Linked DNA regions of Oryzias latipes. The protein of the gene in region 2 purifies or fractionates together with the protein of the main gene of each other region. This does not show direct contact. Links are inferred from orthologs where the notes say so. Each region holds a gene or a part of one and is shown on either strand. Other genes may lie near its edges.

What was found. Proteins that work in one complex are often made in the same cells at the same time.
Region 1: the proteins of zc3hc1 (region 2) and skp1 purify together in Homo sapiens (affinity purification with western blotting; 9 studies listed by BioGRID and IntAct, with this or other methods). This does not show direct contact. The link is inferred for Oryzias latipes from reciprocal best matches to the Homo sapiens genes ZC3HC1 and SKP1.
Region 3: the proteins of zc3hc1 (region 2) and plk1 purify together in Homo sapiens (affinity purification with mass spectrometry; 3 studies listed by BioGRID and IntAct, counting the BioPlex papers as one, with this or other methods). This does not show direct contact. The link is inferred for Oryzias latipes from reciprocal best matches to the Homo sapiens genes ZC3HC1 and PLK1.

What each region holds. Positions count from the first base shown.
Region 1 is NC_019872.2:4,049,025-4,055,158, forward strand, and holds the start of skp1 (S-phase kinase-associated protein 1), read left to right. Parts: upstream 1-2,806; 5' UTR 2,807-2,987; intron 2,988-3,527; 5' UTR 3,528-3,530; coding exon 3,531-3,627; intron 3,628-3,719; coding exon 3,720-3,793; intron 3,794-4,366; coding exon 4,367-4,510; intron 4,511-6,134. Other genes in the region: ppp2ca (serine/threonine-protein phosphatase 2A catalytic subunit alpha isoform), read left to right, coding at 73-246, 415-504, 1,061-1,222, 1,398-1,516, 1,611-1,683. UniProt on the Homo sapiens protein: Essential component of the SCF (SKP1-CUL1-F-box protein) ubiquitin ligase complex, which mediates the ubiquitination of proteins involved in cell cycle progression, signal transduction and transcription.
Region 2 is NC_019881.2:14,717,626-14,723,460, forward strand, and holds the start of zc3hc1 (nuclear-interacting partner of ALK), read left to right. Parts: upstream 1-2,318; 5' UTR 2,319-2,344; coding exon 2,345-2,478; intron 2,479-2,907; coding exon 2,908-3,010; intron 3,011-3,197; coding exon 3,198-3,348; intron 3,349-3,435; coding exon 3,436-3,519; intron 3,520-3,638; coding exon 3,639-3,766; intron 3,767-3,953; coding exon 3,954-4,093; intron 4,094-4,184; coding exon 4,185-4,446; intron 4,447-4,733; coding exon 4,734-4,937; intron 4,938-5,092; coding exon 5,093-5,302; intron 5,303-5,396; coding exon 5,397-5,486; 3' UTR 5,487-5,835. Other genes in the region: klhdc10 (kelch domain-containing protein 10), read right to left, coding at 1,334-1,424. UniProt on the Homo sapiens protein: Required for proper positioning of a substantial amount of TPR at the nuclear basket (NB) through interaction with TPR.
Region 3 is NC_019859.2:22,725,840-22,731,660, reverse strand, and holds the start of plk1 (serine/threonine-protein kinase PLK1), read left to right. Parts: upstream 1-2,493; 5' UTR 2,494-2,895; coding exon 2,896-3,258; intron 3,259-3,603; coding exon 3,604-3,772; intron 3,773-3,957; coding exon 3,958-4,102; intron 4,103-4,190; coding exon 4,191-4,284; intron 4,285-4,374; coding exon 4,375-4,600; intron 4,601-4,706; coding exon 4,707-4,749; intron 4,750-4,824; coding exon 4,825-4,922; intron 4,923-5,010; coding exon 5,011-5,088; intron 5,089-5,175; coding exon 5,176-5,330; intron 5,331-5,654; coding exon 5,655-5,821. UniProt on the Homo sapiens protein: Serine/threonine-protein kinase that performs several important functions throughout M phase of the cell cycle, including the regulation of centrosome maturation and spindle assembly, the removal of cohesins from chromosome arms, the inactivation of anaphase-promoting complex/cyclosome (APC/C) inhibitors, and the regulation of mitotic exit and cytokinesis.

The DNA.
Region 1 (6,134 bases), on a different chromosome or scaffold from region 2:
AAAAGGTGTTTTCAAATGACCGTTTCGTGATTGTGTTTTCAGGTGAATTAGATTTCTCTGCTTGCATTACAGGTACGATTCCGGGAGCGCATCACAATCCTCAGAGGGAACCACGAGAGCAGACAGATCACACAAGTTTACGGCTTCTATGACGAGTGCTTAAGGAAATATGGAAATGCTAACGTTTGGAAGTACTTCACAGACCTGTTTGATTACCTCCCCCTCACTGCCCTGGTAGACTCTCAGGTGAGGAACCCCTGATAGAAACCAAAACGATCACAACAGACTGGGTTGGCTCTGTCTTGCCATTTAACCTAGTAAAGGTAGTTTTAAGATGTTTGTTTTAAACTGGAAATCTTGAGAAGATTCAGAGCTAATTCTGTGGGTAAATGAACTTCTCTGTTATTTCATCAGATTTTCTGCCTTCATGGAGGCCTGTCCCCGTCCATAGATACATTGGATCACATCAGGGCTTTGGACCGTTTGCAGGAGGTGCCACATGAGGTAAAAGTCTAAACCTAAACATCTGCTGGTGGCATTTTTTCTGATAATGGAGGACATTTATCGAGAGAATTAAGAATAAAATAGCATTTCTGAATATTTCTTTATTAAAATCATTGTGAATCAGGAGCAGATGAAAAAAGGCCATTTGAAAAGGAGCCTATTTGTGGGCGGGGCCACAAGCTCTCCGCTCCGCTCCGCTCCAACACTTGTAGACGACTAGATCCATGTACGTCTTTGTTTTCCTTGTCTGAGTTGGCGTCTGGCTCAAAACTTTACGGCTCGATAAAGGACTACAGCTGCTCTGCAGAAACTGTCCTTAAAAAAAAAACACAGCTTTTTAAAATTTAGGCTAAAAACGGCATAATCATAATGAAAAGACCACTGGGAAATCTTTTAAAATAGATCCAAAAAATAATCAGAGTGGTTTTTACACCTACTGTGTTTAGTTTTTAACTACAAATAAAACGCCACCAGGATAAATAGCCTGTTGAATGTGTTTGCGGTCAGAATCGGGAGCTGGCCTGTTCCAGTTCTAACCTGTGATCTCTGTTTCCAGGGTCCCATGTGCGACCTGCTGTGGTCGGACCCTGACGACCGCGGCGGCTGGGGCATCTCTCCTCGAGGAGCAGGCTACACTTTTGGTCAGGACATATCTGAGACCTTCAACCACGCCAACCGCCTCACACTGGTCTCTCGAGCCCACCAGCTGGTCATGGAGGTGTGCATAGTTCAAAAAACCTAACTTTGACCTAACGTTGACTTTTTTTTTTTTTTTTTTACTTTTCATCTGGAAAATGTTTACTATTTTGAGCTTATTAAGACAAACAGTAGAACTTGTGTTAGTTTGTTTTGGATCATTTTCTTCCTGTAAATAACACATCTGCTCTCTTCAGGGTTACAACTGGTGCCATGAGAGGAACGTGGTGACGATATTCAGCGCTCCTAACTACTGTTATCGCTGTGGCAACCAGGCAGCTATTATGGAACTAGATGACACCCTCAAATATTCCTTGTAAGTACATAAATTAAAAACATCAGATGCAATAGTTTAAGGTGGGAATTGTAACTTTTGCACGTCTTAAAATACTTTTCCTTTCGTCCTGCAGCTTGCAGTTTGATCCTGCGCCTCGCAGAGGGGAACCCCATGTAACCCGCCGCACCCCGGACTACTTCCTGTAAACTCTAACATTAGACCCATGCGTACAGTCCAGGCCTAGAATGGCATATACGGCTGAAAATAACTCAAATGTGGAATGGGATCCTGGGACACCGCTCGGAGCATCACAGCAGTGCACATTGTATATCCACACTTAGACCTATTTAAGCATTTTTGTGTCTGTGGGTGGACCAAAGGGTGTGTGTTCCATTACCATTTTAATAATCAGTGCTGACGACTGTACTAAATATCCCCTTTCCTCTTTAAGTCAAGTGTAAATTCCTTCTTTTGTTTGCACGTAGCTGGACTAATGGCACCAATCTCCAAGATTTCATTTTTGGCACTTTGAGTCACACCAGCTTTGGCTTATATTAAGGAAAAATGCGTACGTTCTGTTTGCACTTTTGTAAATTTAAAGAAATGTAAGTTATAAAAAAAACATGAAAGATTCACACTGTTATGTTTTTTTAAATATTGCAAATCAATAAAATTCCCCTAAATCAAGCTATACATAAGGCTTTGTTGTCCTAACTTTTTAGACTGATAAATGCAGTTTGGTTTATAAGATGCTGGATGTTCAATTTCATTCATTCATGAATTCTATATTATGTAATAGGAAATTTCAACAATAAAGATTAAGGTGACATTGATGTTTTTGTTTATTTTATGCTGCTGAAAATATTAAAAAGGTGGCAATTACTTGGGGTGGAGTAAAGTTAAATTGATTTGCGTTTATTATATTGCAAAAATAAATGAAATGAAATAAAGTGGGTCATATAATTGGCTTAGGAAACTGTTCGAATGGACACGTCGAAAGGAACAGGCGCCACCATGCGGTCAAAAGGTGCTAATACACGCAACAAAAATATAGGTCAGACTTGTAAAGGTTTGCATGAATAGCATATTTTTACACTATTATTTCTGATTAAGTCGCATTTTAAAATCTTTATACTAGTAAGTAGTAATCTAAAAGAAGATTTAAGTACAAAAATTTTGATAAAAAAGAAAACCTGGAGTCAAACTGATTTGTTTTATTTTTTTAACATTAAATAATTTTACTAACATTTATTTTAATATAATAATCTATGCTGTTATATTAAACAAAAGCATTAAATAATAATCGCACTACCACAGGCTAAACCGGCAGAGCGGCAGTCCCTCCCTTTGCTCTCTTGTCATGACGGCCTTCCGCCTGTAGGCGGCAGAAGACTCCCCCACCTTCCTGCCATCCAGATACTTCCAACTGCTCTCGGGAGTTACGCGTCTGTAAGGCCCGTTCTGCTAACTACAGGGGAATTTCGCCTCTGAATTTCCGTCAAAAATCACAGTAGGTATCTGTTTTACAGCGAATATATCTTTTTACACGAGTTACGCGTGAGATTTGAGGTCAAACGGTTGCGTGCGTGTGATTTACATAGTCATTTGAAGCGCCTCGATGTAGCTGCTAACTGTCTGTAGCTATGTAGCGTTTAGCTAAGCTGCCTGCATTGTGAAGTAGCACCGAAGTAGCTTAACTGTTAACGTCGTCATATCATTTTTTTCGTGATTAACATTTAATCTTTAACCTTTGTAGTAGAAATAACGTCATTTAAAATAGAACCACGACAACTAAGATGACAAATTTGAACGCGTTCCCGGTTCACGTAAATGTTAGCTTTAGCTAGCTCTTGTATTTACATGCTAACCCCAAGCAGTCAATGCAACAAAAATACATTTTACATTGTTTTTGGGTGAAAACTTTAAAATGATAAGGACTACGTAAACCTGTGTGTAGCATCTGCTTGGCATGTTGGACGTCATTACTCGCTAACCTGAAGTTATATCTGTCGGTGTTAAAATACATTACTTGTTTGTTTTTTTTCTTCAGATTATGCCCACGATAAAGCTGCAGAGCTCTGATGGAGAAATCTTTGAGGTGGACGTTGAGATAGCTAAACAGTCAGTCACCATCAAGACCATGTTAGAAGGTAAGACACAGTGGAATTTGCACAGTTTAAATTAAACCAGTAAGTCTGCTGCCAGCTTTAGTTTTGACTCATTTTTAAATTCATTTGGACAGATTTGGGGATGGACGATGAAGGAGACGACGACCCAGTTCCCCTGCCTAATGTAAATGCCGCCATTCTCAAAAAGGTACAGAAGCAAGGATTTAATTTGTAATGCTCTTGGATCATTTAATTATAATTAACCTGTGGTGATTGAATAATTCTAGCATTGTAAACACTGAGTTAAGTGCTTGCGTTTTAAATACATTTGAGGTTTGTCAAATAAATTATGAATGAAATGAAATTTAAAGTAACCTGCTGCAAATTCTGAGAAGTTTGACCTTTTAACAACTTATCTTTGAATGGGTCTTAATTGACTTAGCTGTTCAGTTTTATGAACTCACAAATGTGATTAGTCAGTTTAAATGGTGAAAGGAATCTCACTGTTCCAGACCTCAGTTTCCTTTTTTCACCTTTTATATTAGCTTCTTTTTACCTTTTCTCACATTTAATTGAAAATTATTTAGAAAAAAAGCATTAAGTAGAAAAAAAACAACACTTTTGAGATGTTCTTTTGAAAATAAGGAAATATTTAAAAAAGATTTCAATATCTGTACAGTTTTTCAGCCGGCTACAGTGCCCTTAAAAAAACCAATTTTTTAAAATGTTGAATAAATGTGAAATAAATGGATGCTAGTTAATCTGACTGTGTCATTATTAGGTGATTCAGTGGTGCACCCATCACAAAGATGACCCCCCTCCTCCTGAAGATGACGAGAACAAAGAGAAGAGGACAGATGATATCCCAGTGTGGGACCAGGAGTTTCTTAAAGTGGACCAGGGCACCTTGTTTGAGCTCATTCTGGTCAGTACATTTCAGATTTAGCACAGTAACCGTCGTTTTGACATAGTTTATTTTAGGGCTGGGTGTCACCAATAATGTCCAGATTCTATTTGATTCTATTACAGTTTACATACTGTAAAATGTGGTAGGTAAATAATAAACCAATGAGGCCGTTAAAACCACACAGTGTTCCATGGTTTCTCAAATGGAGAAGCTCCAACAAAAATGTGCAGATCATTATTTTCTGCCTCTCCTGCATGGTGTTTCTGTTTGTCCACTAGGTGGAGCTCACGCTAGAGCCTTACACCATATTCCAGAAGATTGAGCAAAGAGTTACTTTGAAAAAAATGTTTCCTTAGAAGACTTTGGACATTTCCTTCCTTCCTGTGAGTGTATAAAGCTGTTCATTTAGGCAGTAATGCAAGTTTCAGTCGAACAAGCGTTAGCATAAGTGGTCCTACGGGAAATTCTGTTAGATGTTAGCATCAAACTAGCAGACTTTGGGTTTACTGCTGTTATGGGTTAGGTCACCGGTAAAGGAAAGGCATGAAAGATTGATCTCTAATTTAATGGATCGATTATTGATCCATTAGGCTTGGATCAACGAATCGATATAATCAACCCAGCCATAGTTTATTAATTTAAAAACACGCCTAGTTAAAATGATAAATTCTGTTTGGTCTAATCGTTAAACAAAAAGTACCACTAAAATGCCCTGTTAGCACTTGTTGACTGCTGCACTTGCTGGATGAAAGAGTTCTGGGACTTACATGATTAAAGGAGAAAAGTGTTTTCCTTCCATGTGTGACAAAAGTGTCAGAATAACAGAATGGAAAAATACTTCTGTTTTTTGGTAATACATTTAAATACACCTGGGTACCAAACCTTAGTGTTTTAAATAAGACTACTACTAGTGATGGCAGACACCAGGGATCATTATGTCTAAGACCAAAGTCTAGCTATACCTTCCAGCACTGTTAAGCAGCAAGGATGGTTTTGTTTTTGCTGTCTTCTTGGTCTTCTCAGTAAATTGTGAGGCTGCATCACTGAAATGGTTAACATTAAAAATAGTAAATCAAACCAAAAGTGAAGTATTTTATCAACACAGCCACTTATATTTATAGAAGTTTTCTCAGTTTTGCAGTTGACTTTCTTTTTTGTTAGATTTATTTTTTAAGGTTATTTGTAATAGTTTTTTTATAACTGACTCTTTTGTTTGGGTAACAAATGATTTAAACATTTGTTGCCAGGCAACAGCTGGAAGATGTTTTTTTAATGCCGTTGGGTCGTCAGCGGTCAGAGAGCCGGTAGTGGTTCTCACAAACCAGCCATGTGACGTGATGTGAGAGGTAACCCGAGCAGAACCCAGGAGAGATTGGGAAACGGTTACTGGAAGATCCAGTCATTCCAGGAAGTGAGACACGAGTGACTCCAGAAACCCCCCCCCCCCCACACACACACACACACGCTTATTTTGTTTACAAGCAGAAATGGTTGCTACATTTAACTCAAATGTTGGATTGAAGTTGAAAGAACCATCTGAGTTTTGGGTTTTGAGGTGAGCACTGCTCAGGACAGAGAGCAACTCTTGGGGCAGATGGGGCTGTTTAAATCAGCCCCATGGTATTGATTAAAAACAAAGTCT
Region 2 (5,835 bases):
AAAGGAAATTTCTCAGAAAGAAGATTTATGTCTTTTACGATATTTGCATGAACAGTATGTGTTGCGTTTCTGTGCAATTACAAAAGAAACAATTTTGATGTCTTAGGCACGATTAGATTAAGGATGTCATCTATTTTAAACAAATGACATAAAAAATTTTAGTCTGAAAATATTGAAGAAAAACGAGTAGAATATGTCATTACTGAAGAGTTTAAAGGCACACGCCGATGAAAATTGTCTTTTTGGTTTTTGCAACACATTCTTGTGGGATTTTCTCATGTTTGAGGACACATTTAAAGAAAATTGCATGTCTGAGTATTTCTTCAATCAAATTCCTTGTGAATCAGGAGCAGATGCAAAAGCCACAAGCTTCCTGCGCCGGTCTATTCTGATGCATCCATTTGTAGACGACTAGATCCATATGCGTCTTCATCTTCCTCGTCCAAGCTAAATTTCTAATGAACTACTTACTCCCTGCAGAAAATATGTCCCAAAAAACGACACCGGTTTCGGGGATTTTGCTTAAAAACGGCATAATCATAATTCAAAGACCACTGGGAACGCTTTTCGAACAAATCAAAAGATGATCAGAGTGGCTGTTTTAAACAATTCTTGAAAACTCTTCAGTGAAGCTGAAGTTAATGCATATTTCTGAGAATAACAGCTATAACCACTGCACTTTATTATATTTGCAGTACTATTTAAAGCTTTAAAAAAGTGCTGCTAATGTAATTTCAATTTACAAAAGTATAAAATACAAATAAATGTTTCCAACTTGAATGAATCCCAGTAATATCAGATAAAACAAATACACCCCTTCTCTGTTTATTGTTTTTAAACTTATTCACAAGCTTATCTATGACTCTAGTTCAATGTGTCAATCAATCCATATATTAATAGTGATGAAAACATATAAAAAGAATATGCCAATGGAGAATAAGTAGAAATAGCATAGAAGTGGAATATAAATGCAATTTTAAACTGATTTATTTTTTCTTGGTTGGATTTTTACAAACAAATCTTAGATTTTAGAATAGAGCTAAAAAGTAAATGTGTCAATTTAAAATCTGAATGTTTACATTATGGAGAAATCCATCCTTTTTATCGAAGAAAACAAGTGGGAAAAAAGGCATTAAATACAGATACATAATGTATACATTACATTAAAAAAATAAAATTAAATGAGATATATTAGATAAATTTAATTACAAAAATACATTAAACACCCATTATTATATACACGTAATGTTCCTTACGGAACAATGGTTTAAAAGTGCGAAGAAAAAACCAAAACAGAGGGTTGATAGCATCGTTGCTAATGTTATGAACCGACCTGCTAGCAGCCCTTCGTGCGGCGGCCTGCCAATCAGTCTCTCGAATTTATTCAGCTGATCTGAACAGTGAAACCTTTCGGCGTCCGACATCGTGTCCCCTTCACAACCCTGTCCTCTTCGATGTCACGTCGAATATAAAACACGTCTGCCAAAACGCTGCTGAAACATTTCACATCTCAGGCAGGTTTGAAGCCATTCACTGTTTTTCTTTCCACCCCGGCAGTGACACACTTGACCAATCGCTGAGCTTGTTACCAGGACGTTGCGTCTTCAGGAAAACGGAACTGCCGCCATATTTTATTTTATTTTATTTTATTTTATTTTATTTTATTTTATTTTATTTTATTTTATTTTATTTTATTTTATTTTATTTTATTTTATTTTATTTTATTTTATTTTATTGAATGTAGACGTAAACTTATAATTTAAAAATATGTATAAAAAATGAAGAAATATAAAAATGCAAATACAATTATTAAATTAATTTGTAGTAAATTAATCAAATTAGAAATAATTTAATGTTTTTACTGAATAAAAACATTTAATTTATTTAGCATATATTATTTTAATAAATTCATACATAAATGTAAACATATATAGTGTTTGAATTTAAACACTCACACTTTAAATTGCAAACACTCACACTAAGTCTTTAAATGTAAACACTAAATTTAAATTTTAATACTCAAACGTCGTTACATTTAAATTAGATCTAAATTTAAATTAGTTTTATTTTGGTTTTGTTCAACAGTGAGTCACAATTTTAGCGTATTGTGAAAGTTCTGGTAGCTTTTGCTGACAATGTGATCTATGTTCTACAAAAATCATCCACATAAAACGTACCTGTATAATATCATTTATACGTCGTTGAAATATCTAGCGGTCAACTGCATATGACAAAGATTTTACACCAAAAATGTCCTGTTTGTTTACTGCGTTTGTGGCTCTGGTGAAGCGGAACAACTTTTTTCCGGGATGTGTTTCTCTGGGGATTTTTGTCAGAGCCGACCATGGCGAATATCGGCGGCAGTCGCGGGGACCGTCTCGGCAATTCTAACCACCTAAAGTCTTCTTTTGCATCTCCGGAAAAAGTTCGTGAACTCCTCAGCGAAGGAGTATCATTACCGGAGATTGGGTCCAACAGGTGGCGTTTTAAACTACCAGTTTATTTTTTTTTTTGGAAAAATCTAAGTTGACGGTAGCTGACTGGGTTAGCCACGTCTTAGCTTAGCATCTCACCTCGAACGTATTCATAGTTTTGCTGGAGGGGTTTTTCAAGTCTGCACAGAGCTGAGAGTTTGACAAACGAGCCCGAGTTTCTGTACTCATACGGTTGCAATGATGTGGATTAAATAAATTATTCAAAAATGTGTTTTTATAGCCTTATGCTGCAGCTGTTGTTAGCCGGGGTCCAGCAGTTAGTTTGCAGTTATGTATGTATGCTAAAAATAACCACAAGAATCACAGCAACTATTTCCGTCTAGCAAATTGATCAGAAAACATTGTGTACAAAATGGTCCATTGGATATTTTGTGTTTTGTAAAAAGGACTTATGTTTTATGTCTTGTTTCAGTGAACAAGGGGACTTAAAAGTTCTGGAAGTTAAAGACAACACTCAAACACCGTGTGAAGCAACAAACAAAGAAGCATTTTTCTCAAGAGTGGAATCCTATTCTATATCCTTCCTTCATATTATATATTTATTAATGGACAACGTTTATTTTTTGTTTTAAATACATATATACATTGCTTCCATGTGATTTGTTAAAATGCACCGTTTTTTAAACATAATCAAAATACACATTTGTAATTGCTAACACAAGCTGCCTATTATTTAGGGTCCTCTTTTCCTTAATATGTCACTGTTTGAGATGGGCAGGCAAACCCCGTGCACTTTCTCCTCTGATGTGTGCCAGATATGGTTGGATCAATGTTGGTTGTGACATGCTGAAGTGCTCCAGCTGCCAGGCTTTCCTTTGTGCATCACTACAACCAACGTTAGACTTTAAGAAATGTAAGCTCAAACTTGAAGCAATATGGCGACGGTAATGGTGCTGGCCTGCCAAAATGAGATGTCAAGCTGTTCTGTTCTTTTAAATAGATGAAAGCCGCATTGCAGAGATATTGAGACAACTACAGACTCAGCATGAGAAGTTTTGTCCTTGGCCTGACTTTCCATGTCCAGGTAGAAGCAACCATTTTGTCTGGAGCAAACTTACAACAAACATACAATCCACTACTCCGTCTGTTTATTAACCATCAGCATGATGGTCGTAATAAATATAAGTATTTCTGTTTATCCAGAGAGATTCTGGCTTGTTCCAGCCTCTGAACCGTCAACGCTGCTTGCTGCCTTTTTGGAACGTTTCCAGAGTGCCTGTCTCCTTGCTCAGCAGCTGCCAGCCATGAGGCCAGAGCAGCTGAAGTCTATGGTAAAGGGCTTTATTTAAAGAACACTTGTGCCAGCTTAAATTTCAGAAGGACTTAGATAAAAACATCAATTATTATCAAGGGAATGTGATATCATTAAGGGTTCATTAAAGAAATTGCTTTATTAACATATGAACTATTTTTAACAAGACAATAACAGCTATTATTTGTGGTCTTTTTTCCCCCCAGTCTTTGACAGAGGATGTCATCAGTAATATACTGCAACTGATTGAGGAAGAGCTAAAAATAAAGGGATGCAGTCCATGCTCTGAACCATTGTCTGTTCAGGTGGCTGCATGCGTCGTTTCTCTTTGTGGTTGGGCAGCAAGGTGAGAGTTGTTTCAGTAAAAAAGGTGCATTTCTAAAACACAAGGTTATTTGGTGGAATTTGGGTCCAAAATTAAATTTCTTTCATCTTAGTCCAGCTTTACGTGCCATGAACCTGCCAATCCTGACCTGCTCCTATTGCATGCGGAAGGTGGGTTTGTGGAATTTCCACCAGATGGAAGAAATCGGAGGTGAGGCAGAGACGGTACCAAGCTCTGCAGGACCCTCTGCTCATGGAACAGGTTCTGTCTTAGGGGGCTGCAGCGACAGCCAGGCAGACCCTGCCTCGTCCACTCATGCGGCATCTCCATGCCGCATGAAGCTGAGGAGCCAGGACTCCATACGCTCCGACCAGGCAAGCATTCTTGTGTTTGTTGCTCTGTGGTAAGGTTGAGGCTTTTCTATGCCACATTTGCTTCAGTAGACATGACCCTCTTCTCCCGTTTGGAGAAGGATTTTCACAAACTCACTGTTGATGGTGTAGGAAGTGATTACAGAAATTCTACCCTCATTGTCATCTCTAGTTTATTAGAGGATATAATGTAAAGAGCCACAATGAACTGCCTCCCACCATACCAAAACCCTTTTGATCCTTCAACTCCTTTTTATCAGACTTTTTCATATTTTTGTTTTCTGTTGCAGGTTGAGGGGACCTCCTCCTCCCCCACTGCATTACGAGCCAAAAGCAGAGACTCACCCAGCCCCAGTGATGACTTGCTAAGTCCTCTGACGAGGGGCAAGAGGCCTGCAACTCGAAGTCGAGGACATGGAGATAATTCGGGGGCCGACGGCTCCACCAGCCTCCATCCTCCCAAACGCTTGTGCTTCTCAACAGTTGGTGGTCCTGTAAGAACAATCATTACTTCTTAGTTCCTGTCTTGCTTTTGATTTGGATGCTTCATAGTCTTTTTCTATGGTGAATCAGCATTTGTAAGATTTTTGAATTTCAAGATGTTTACTTTAAATGATGAGTTTTAACATGTGACATTTCTCTCTTTCAGGATGGGCCTCTGCATAAGGGCACATTTGACCCTCTTTCTCAGCACAGGGACTGGTGTCCTTGGATCTCTGCAGGACAGGAGAACGTGGATCCAGATCATGCCTCTGTTTTGGATGGAGGAGTAGCGTTGAATCAACAAGGCTGGAAAGCTGCCCTTGACCTTTTCATGCCTTCAAAGAACTCCAGCACACTGAAAGGTAGTCCAGAGCAGGTAAGTTGGCAGTCTTGGTATTTTCTTGTATACTTATTCTATAAATATAGAACTCTTGTTCATATTACTATTTCAAATGTTCTTCTCCAAATAGGGTCCCCGTGACAAGTCTAAGAGAGTGTTTGCAATATTCCGGCAGTGGCAAGTATCTTCCTCTCCACCTTCAGAGAGTGTTAAAATATAAACTCCATTGCCACACTGAACTGATTAACTGATCTCCATTAAATATTTGGTACATACTCCATCTGAGCAAATACCACGAGTCAAATCTCCTACGTCTTTACATGAAGTTATGTTTACAGTCAAAGTCCCTCTTGATGGAAAATAACAAATATCTTCTCTGTGAATTCTCAACAATGTGAAGGATCCCTGTTTGTTTTGGAATGTTTGGGTCTTAGGGCTGCAACATTTCATCATCTCTAGTATAGTATTTTCCATTTCATCATTGGTACTTTGTTTTAAAAACAAAATGAATTTCAGAGAAGATGGGGGGAAAAAAAAGATGTGGGATGAAGAAGAGCCATGTGGCTCTA
Region 3 (5,821 bases), on a different chromosome or scaffold from region 2:
TTTCTCTTTAAAAGCTAAACAAATGTTTGAAATAATCTGAGTTCTTGGCTTATTATTTTAAATAGATTCTGGTTATATTACTGTTCTTAGGGTACTAGAGACATGCCAAAACATTACAAGGAAAGTTGAGATGTAGAAACCATAAAAAAATACATTATTGAACATTTAGTATCTGTTTGAGATTATACTATGATTCCTATCATAGGAGCCATTTTGTTCAGATTTAAAAAAAATCAGTGTCATGGTTTAGTTCATACTGCAGTGTGTGGGAGAAGAGAAAAGAGCCTACATCAAGTCCCCTTTGAGATCTCACTGAGCCAAAAATGCATGAGAGGATGAAAGAAAAGGTAGCCTACTCCACTTTCTCCGAGCCTCAGCAGACAGAACCACATTTTTCTCATCTATAAGATGAGAAACACTTTAAATGGGTTATTTCATGTGCTAAACTCAGCATGTCCTGATATTAGCACACAGAAACCTGTCTTGGTCTGTACAAATGCGTGTTGCCATGGTAACCCAAAGCAAAAAGGATGCTGGAGGAGAGTGCATGTTCAGAGATCTGCCAGATAGAAACAAATCAATATCCCCAATAACCTTGCACAATTCAAACCGTCATAAATGTCCAGTATGGATTTTTTGAGCACTGCAACTAGAGGAAATTGAGTAAATAAAAGCCTGAACATGGACACTGATATGTGATATTCTCTGAGTGAACCCAAGCATTCCTGTGTGCTCACCTTAATCAAATAAAACTGTCCTTGTTTGGCAGTGTGTTTGTGTTTTTGTTGCATGTAACATCTTTAGCTCAAGTCAAGTCAAATCTGCAAGAAAAGTAAACACACAGCAAGGAATCAGAGTGCAGCAGCATGTAGGGGTGGAGATGGAAATTACAACATTTATAAACGGCTACAACAAAGACAAGTACATGAATTACAAGGCACAAAAGCTTTTGTCCAAAAGATAAAAAAAGGAAAACTTTAGTTAGAAGCTTTGGAGAAGTTTGAAATATTATTCTAGCCCACAGGCAGAGCTCAAATAAAAACATGTGGCTCTTGAATAAGTAATGCTACCTCCAAACTACTGAACTGTATTCCTTTACAACCTCTGATGGTTTATAAACGGTGTGTTTGTAGCCTTAGGATGCACCGGTGCAAGCAAGTCCCCGCAGTCTTCAGGTAAGCATCCCCTCAACAAGCTGTGTTTTGAGTTAGTGTCCCATAACCATTCCCCCTTTACACTCTTAACCCAAATTAATTTACCACAAAATGTTGATCAGCCAGCAACCAGCAATCTATTAACTGGTTACCCCAACTACCATGCAGTGGTGGATAAAGAAAAAAAGAAATGAAAACCTTAGGGGAAAAACAACTTTTTTTTTTTTTTTTAGCTTGGCATGTTGAAACCAAACAGTACAGTCAATATCCAAATGTAAAAAATTGGGAATCTTCATGTATTCTGGAGTTATTATTTAAGTATAGGCATCAACAGGTTAACCATCATGATCAGAAAGTGAAAGTCCTTAATTTCATCATGTTAACATCTTGTCAAATAAACAATAATCTTGGTATCACAAAAACGATGTGACTTTTTTTTAGTGTGGCAAGACAGATTAAACCATTACTGCAGGTTTACTTTCTCATATTGCTTTTGTTACACTATATTTTACTGCTTCTCACCATTTTATGCTTTCCAGCATAAATAATCTTTCAAGTTAAACCCTGAGGCTTTTTTGCTCAAAATCCTTTTTGAATTTCAACCAATCTAGAGTGAAAAATATCCTCCTCACTACCGGCAATAAAAACTTGTCCCCATAGTGGACATTTCTAGACCTGAAAATTATTCAACCACTGCAATTACTGAATGAACTCCTTTTGGTATCTACAGAGGGCATTTGTGGCTTTTCAATGATTACAATGATACACTTAGAATGCCGATAGCACTGTCTGAGAATTTGGTTTGAAACAGTATTTAATGGTTGTTCTAACAGAGTAGAAATTAAAAGAAAACATGAGAAGAAAGCAAACACTCACATGTTTCTCAATTTATGAAAAGTTGAAAGTTTTTCAAGGAAGTGTGGCGCAAGATGAGTGTACACAGTCAGCATGGCAATCAATAAAAATAAAAGTGTATAACCTGAACCAACAATGTCTGTCAATAAAAATCCATCCAAAAAGTGAAAATGACAAATTCATAAAAAACTCATAGTCTAACAAAGATTAAATAAACTTCATATGATCCTCTGCATTCATGTAATATTAGTGTTCAACTAATAACATGAACCTAAATGATCGATATTGGATCAGGAGTGGCCATAATTCGGATAACGCTAATAACAAAACACTTTCGAAATTAAATCCTTTTCCCGACTACATTTCCCATCCGTCTTTCTCGAGGAAACAAAAACAGCCTTTCAGCCAATCAGATTGTTGGAGGCCTTCTACTCTACTCCTGATTGGCTATTTTTGTACACATGTTCCCAAGATGCTTTGCTGTGACGCTGTGGAATTCAAATCTAGCAGACCAATCAACGATCGCCAAAACGACCGAGCCAGCATTTTAAATTTGTACGAGACACTTGTTATCGAAAAGGCAGAACGGGACAAGGCAACCGCTGCCGGGGAAGTCTGCGCAAGAATTCTGCCTCCGGTTTTTTTTTTAATTAATTTATTTAATCTTGGGACCTGTCGGCCTTTAAATGTTAGTCAACGTTTGCGGTTTAGATCGTTTGTTAGTATTTGCTGTAAATTGAGGCGTAGAAAAAGTTAGCTTCGAAGGCTAAACTAACGTCGGTTGAGTTGGAGGGTTAAACAACACTTTAGCCCTTGTTTAATAACTTTTGCGTTTCGACTTCTTTGGAGTTTTATTAACGCGGAAAGAGCACTTTTAAAGTACACCATGAGTGCTGCTATCGCAAAGCCGGCGCAGCCGTCCGGACACGTCGACCCAAAATCGGCTCCTCTGAAAGAAATCCCAGAGGTTTTGGTGGATCCCCGCACCCTGAGGAGATACTCCAAGGGCAGGTTCCTCGGCAAGGGGGGCTTCGCCAAATGCTTCGAAATTACAGACATGGAGACCAAGCAGGTTTTCGCTGGCAAAATAGTGCCCAAGTCGTTGATCCTGAAGCAGCACCAAAGGGAGAAGATGAGCTCGGAAATCTCCATTCACAAGAGCCTCAATCATGCTAACATCGTGGGCTTCCACGGCTTCTTTGAGGACGACGACTTTGTCTATGTGGTCCTGGAGATCTGCAGGAGAAGGGTGAGGATTTTGGGAACTCTAAATGAAAATACATGAAGGCCAACGGTTAACAATGTGGCCTCTTCCGTTACCCCCCCCCCCCCCCCTCCTTTGGCATAGTGCTGGGAGACTCAAATCCCCTGATCACTGCTTTAAATCACTGTTACTTATCCTAAACCAGTAACTTTTTGTAATTTAAAACTATAGAGATATCTAAATTCTTTTTCCCCTTTGTGTTGTTCCACGTGTTGTTTTTAACACTTCTTGAGGTGCCACTTCACTTCATCCAGCTTGTTCATGCTCTCCCAGCCTCCATTTTCCTCCACTGAGTTCAGCCGCTCACCAGAACTGTTGTCCTTTTTCAAGTCCCTGTTGGAGTTGCACAAGCGCAGGAAGGCGGTCACGGAGCCGGAGGCTCGCTACTACATGACCCAGCTGCTGAAAGGGGTCCATTATCTGCACAGCAACAAGGTCATCCACAGAGACCTGAAACTGGGGAACATCTTCCTCAACGACGACATGGAAGTCAAGATAGGTATGGAGAGCAGGAAACCTGTCGGTGTAGTGACAAAGAAACGGGCACACCCATGTTCTTGATATGCTCCCATAACTTCCTTGTTGAGAACTTCCAGCTCCAATTTGTTAACACCCATATTTGGCTTCTTAATATCCTTTACTCAGATTAAACGCTGATCATTTCTTTCTTTCCTTTTTTGCTAGGTGACTTTGGTTTGGCCACAAAGATTGAGTTTGATGGTGAACGGAAGAAGACCTTGTGTGGAACGCCCAACTATATCGCTCCGGAAGTGCTGTGCAAGAAAGGCCACAGCTATGAAGTGGATGTCTGGTCACTTGGGTGCATATTGTAAGTGTGTAAACCCACAGTGGAGTGGGGAAGAGTGTCATTCCACAGGATTCTGGATACTCAACTTCCTTCCTGTATCCTCTCATAGGTACACTTTGTTAGTCGGCAAGCCTCCGTTTGAAACCTCATGCCTGAAAGACACATACAACCGGATCAAGAAGAACAATTACACCATCCCCTGGGTGAGAAGAGCTGACGTTAATCCCTAAATGTACGTAATAGTTGGTGAAAGAAAATCTTAAGTTTACCGTCACTTCACTTGAATGCTGCAGCAAATCAACCCGTCAGCCTCGGCTCTCATCAAGAGGATGCTGCATGCCGATCCTGCCCAGAGGCCCACCATCACTGACCTGCAGACGGATGAGTTCTTCACATCGGGATACGTCCCCCTGCGGCTGCCCACCACTTGTCTCACTGTGCCCCCGCGGTTCTCCATTGCCCCCTCCATGGCTGCAGAGCTCAGCCAGAGGCGCCCCCTGACTGCCATAAACAACAAAGGTAACAAACCCAACAATTGCCCAAAACTGGTGCACTGATAATGAAAGTCTGCAGTTAATCAACAGTGATATTGATGGAGGTTTTTTTTATATATTTTTTTTCTCAGCCGGCACAGAGAAGGTGGACATGAAAGACGAGCCTGCTCCACTGTGAGACATCACACTAAGGTCTAAAACATGCGTCGTAGTTTGATCAAAAATGATAAATGGGAATTTTGTGTGCAGAGAGGCGGAGCCAGAAGAATGTTACCTGAAGGACATGCTGCAGCAGCTCAACAGCATCATCTCTGCCAAGCCTTCAGAGAAGGCGGTCATTCGGCAAGGTGAGAGCAGCCGCCTGCAGGAACTACCTAAACTTTCTGCAGTTTTAGTCAGTCCTTCTTACAGAAAACCCCTTGTCTTTGATTTCAGAGGAAGCAGAGGATCCTGCGTGTATTCCCATCTTTTGGATCAGTAAATGGGTCGACTACTCTGACAAATATGGATTAGGTAAATTCTAAATCTTAGGACAGGTTTGCCTTTTATTGTCTTGCTTTTAATGGAGAATTAAGGGTGTGCTGTAAATTGCTTTCGCAGGATACCAGCTTTGTGACAACAGTGTTGGTGTTCTATTCAACGATTTCACCCGACTCATCATGTATGCTGATGGCGACAGTCTGCAGTACATTGACAAGAAGGCTGCTGAGTCCTATTTAAGCGTTCGCTCATTCCCTGCTTCTCTCAACAAAAAGGTTGGTGGATGAAGCTAATTCTGTTTGTTGCTTTGTTCAGGTAATTCTGAAAGAAGACAGAATAACCTGTCTTCTTTCACGTTATTGTTTTTTTTAGAGCCCTGGATATGACATCAAAAAATGAATTGTTCCCTCAAATTAATAATTTGTGGCCATAAATTATTATTTTGAGCACACAAATACTACATTGCGGACATAAAAATGCTAGTTTTTGTCCACAAAGTTGTATTTTGTGTGCAAAAGGTGTTACGTCATGTAATGTCCAGGGCTCTGTATTTTTTCCTCTGCTAGTAGAGTACCATGAGTATTTTTCCTGTCCTGCAGATTACATTACTGAAATATTTCCGCAACTACATGAGTGAGCATCTCCTGAAAGCTGGTGCCAACATTGCGCGCCGTGAAGGTGATGAACTGGCCCGGCTGCCTTACCTCTGCCTCTGGTTTCGAACCAAGAGCGCCATCATCCTGCACCTCAGCAATGGAACGGTTCA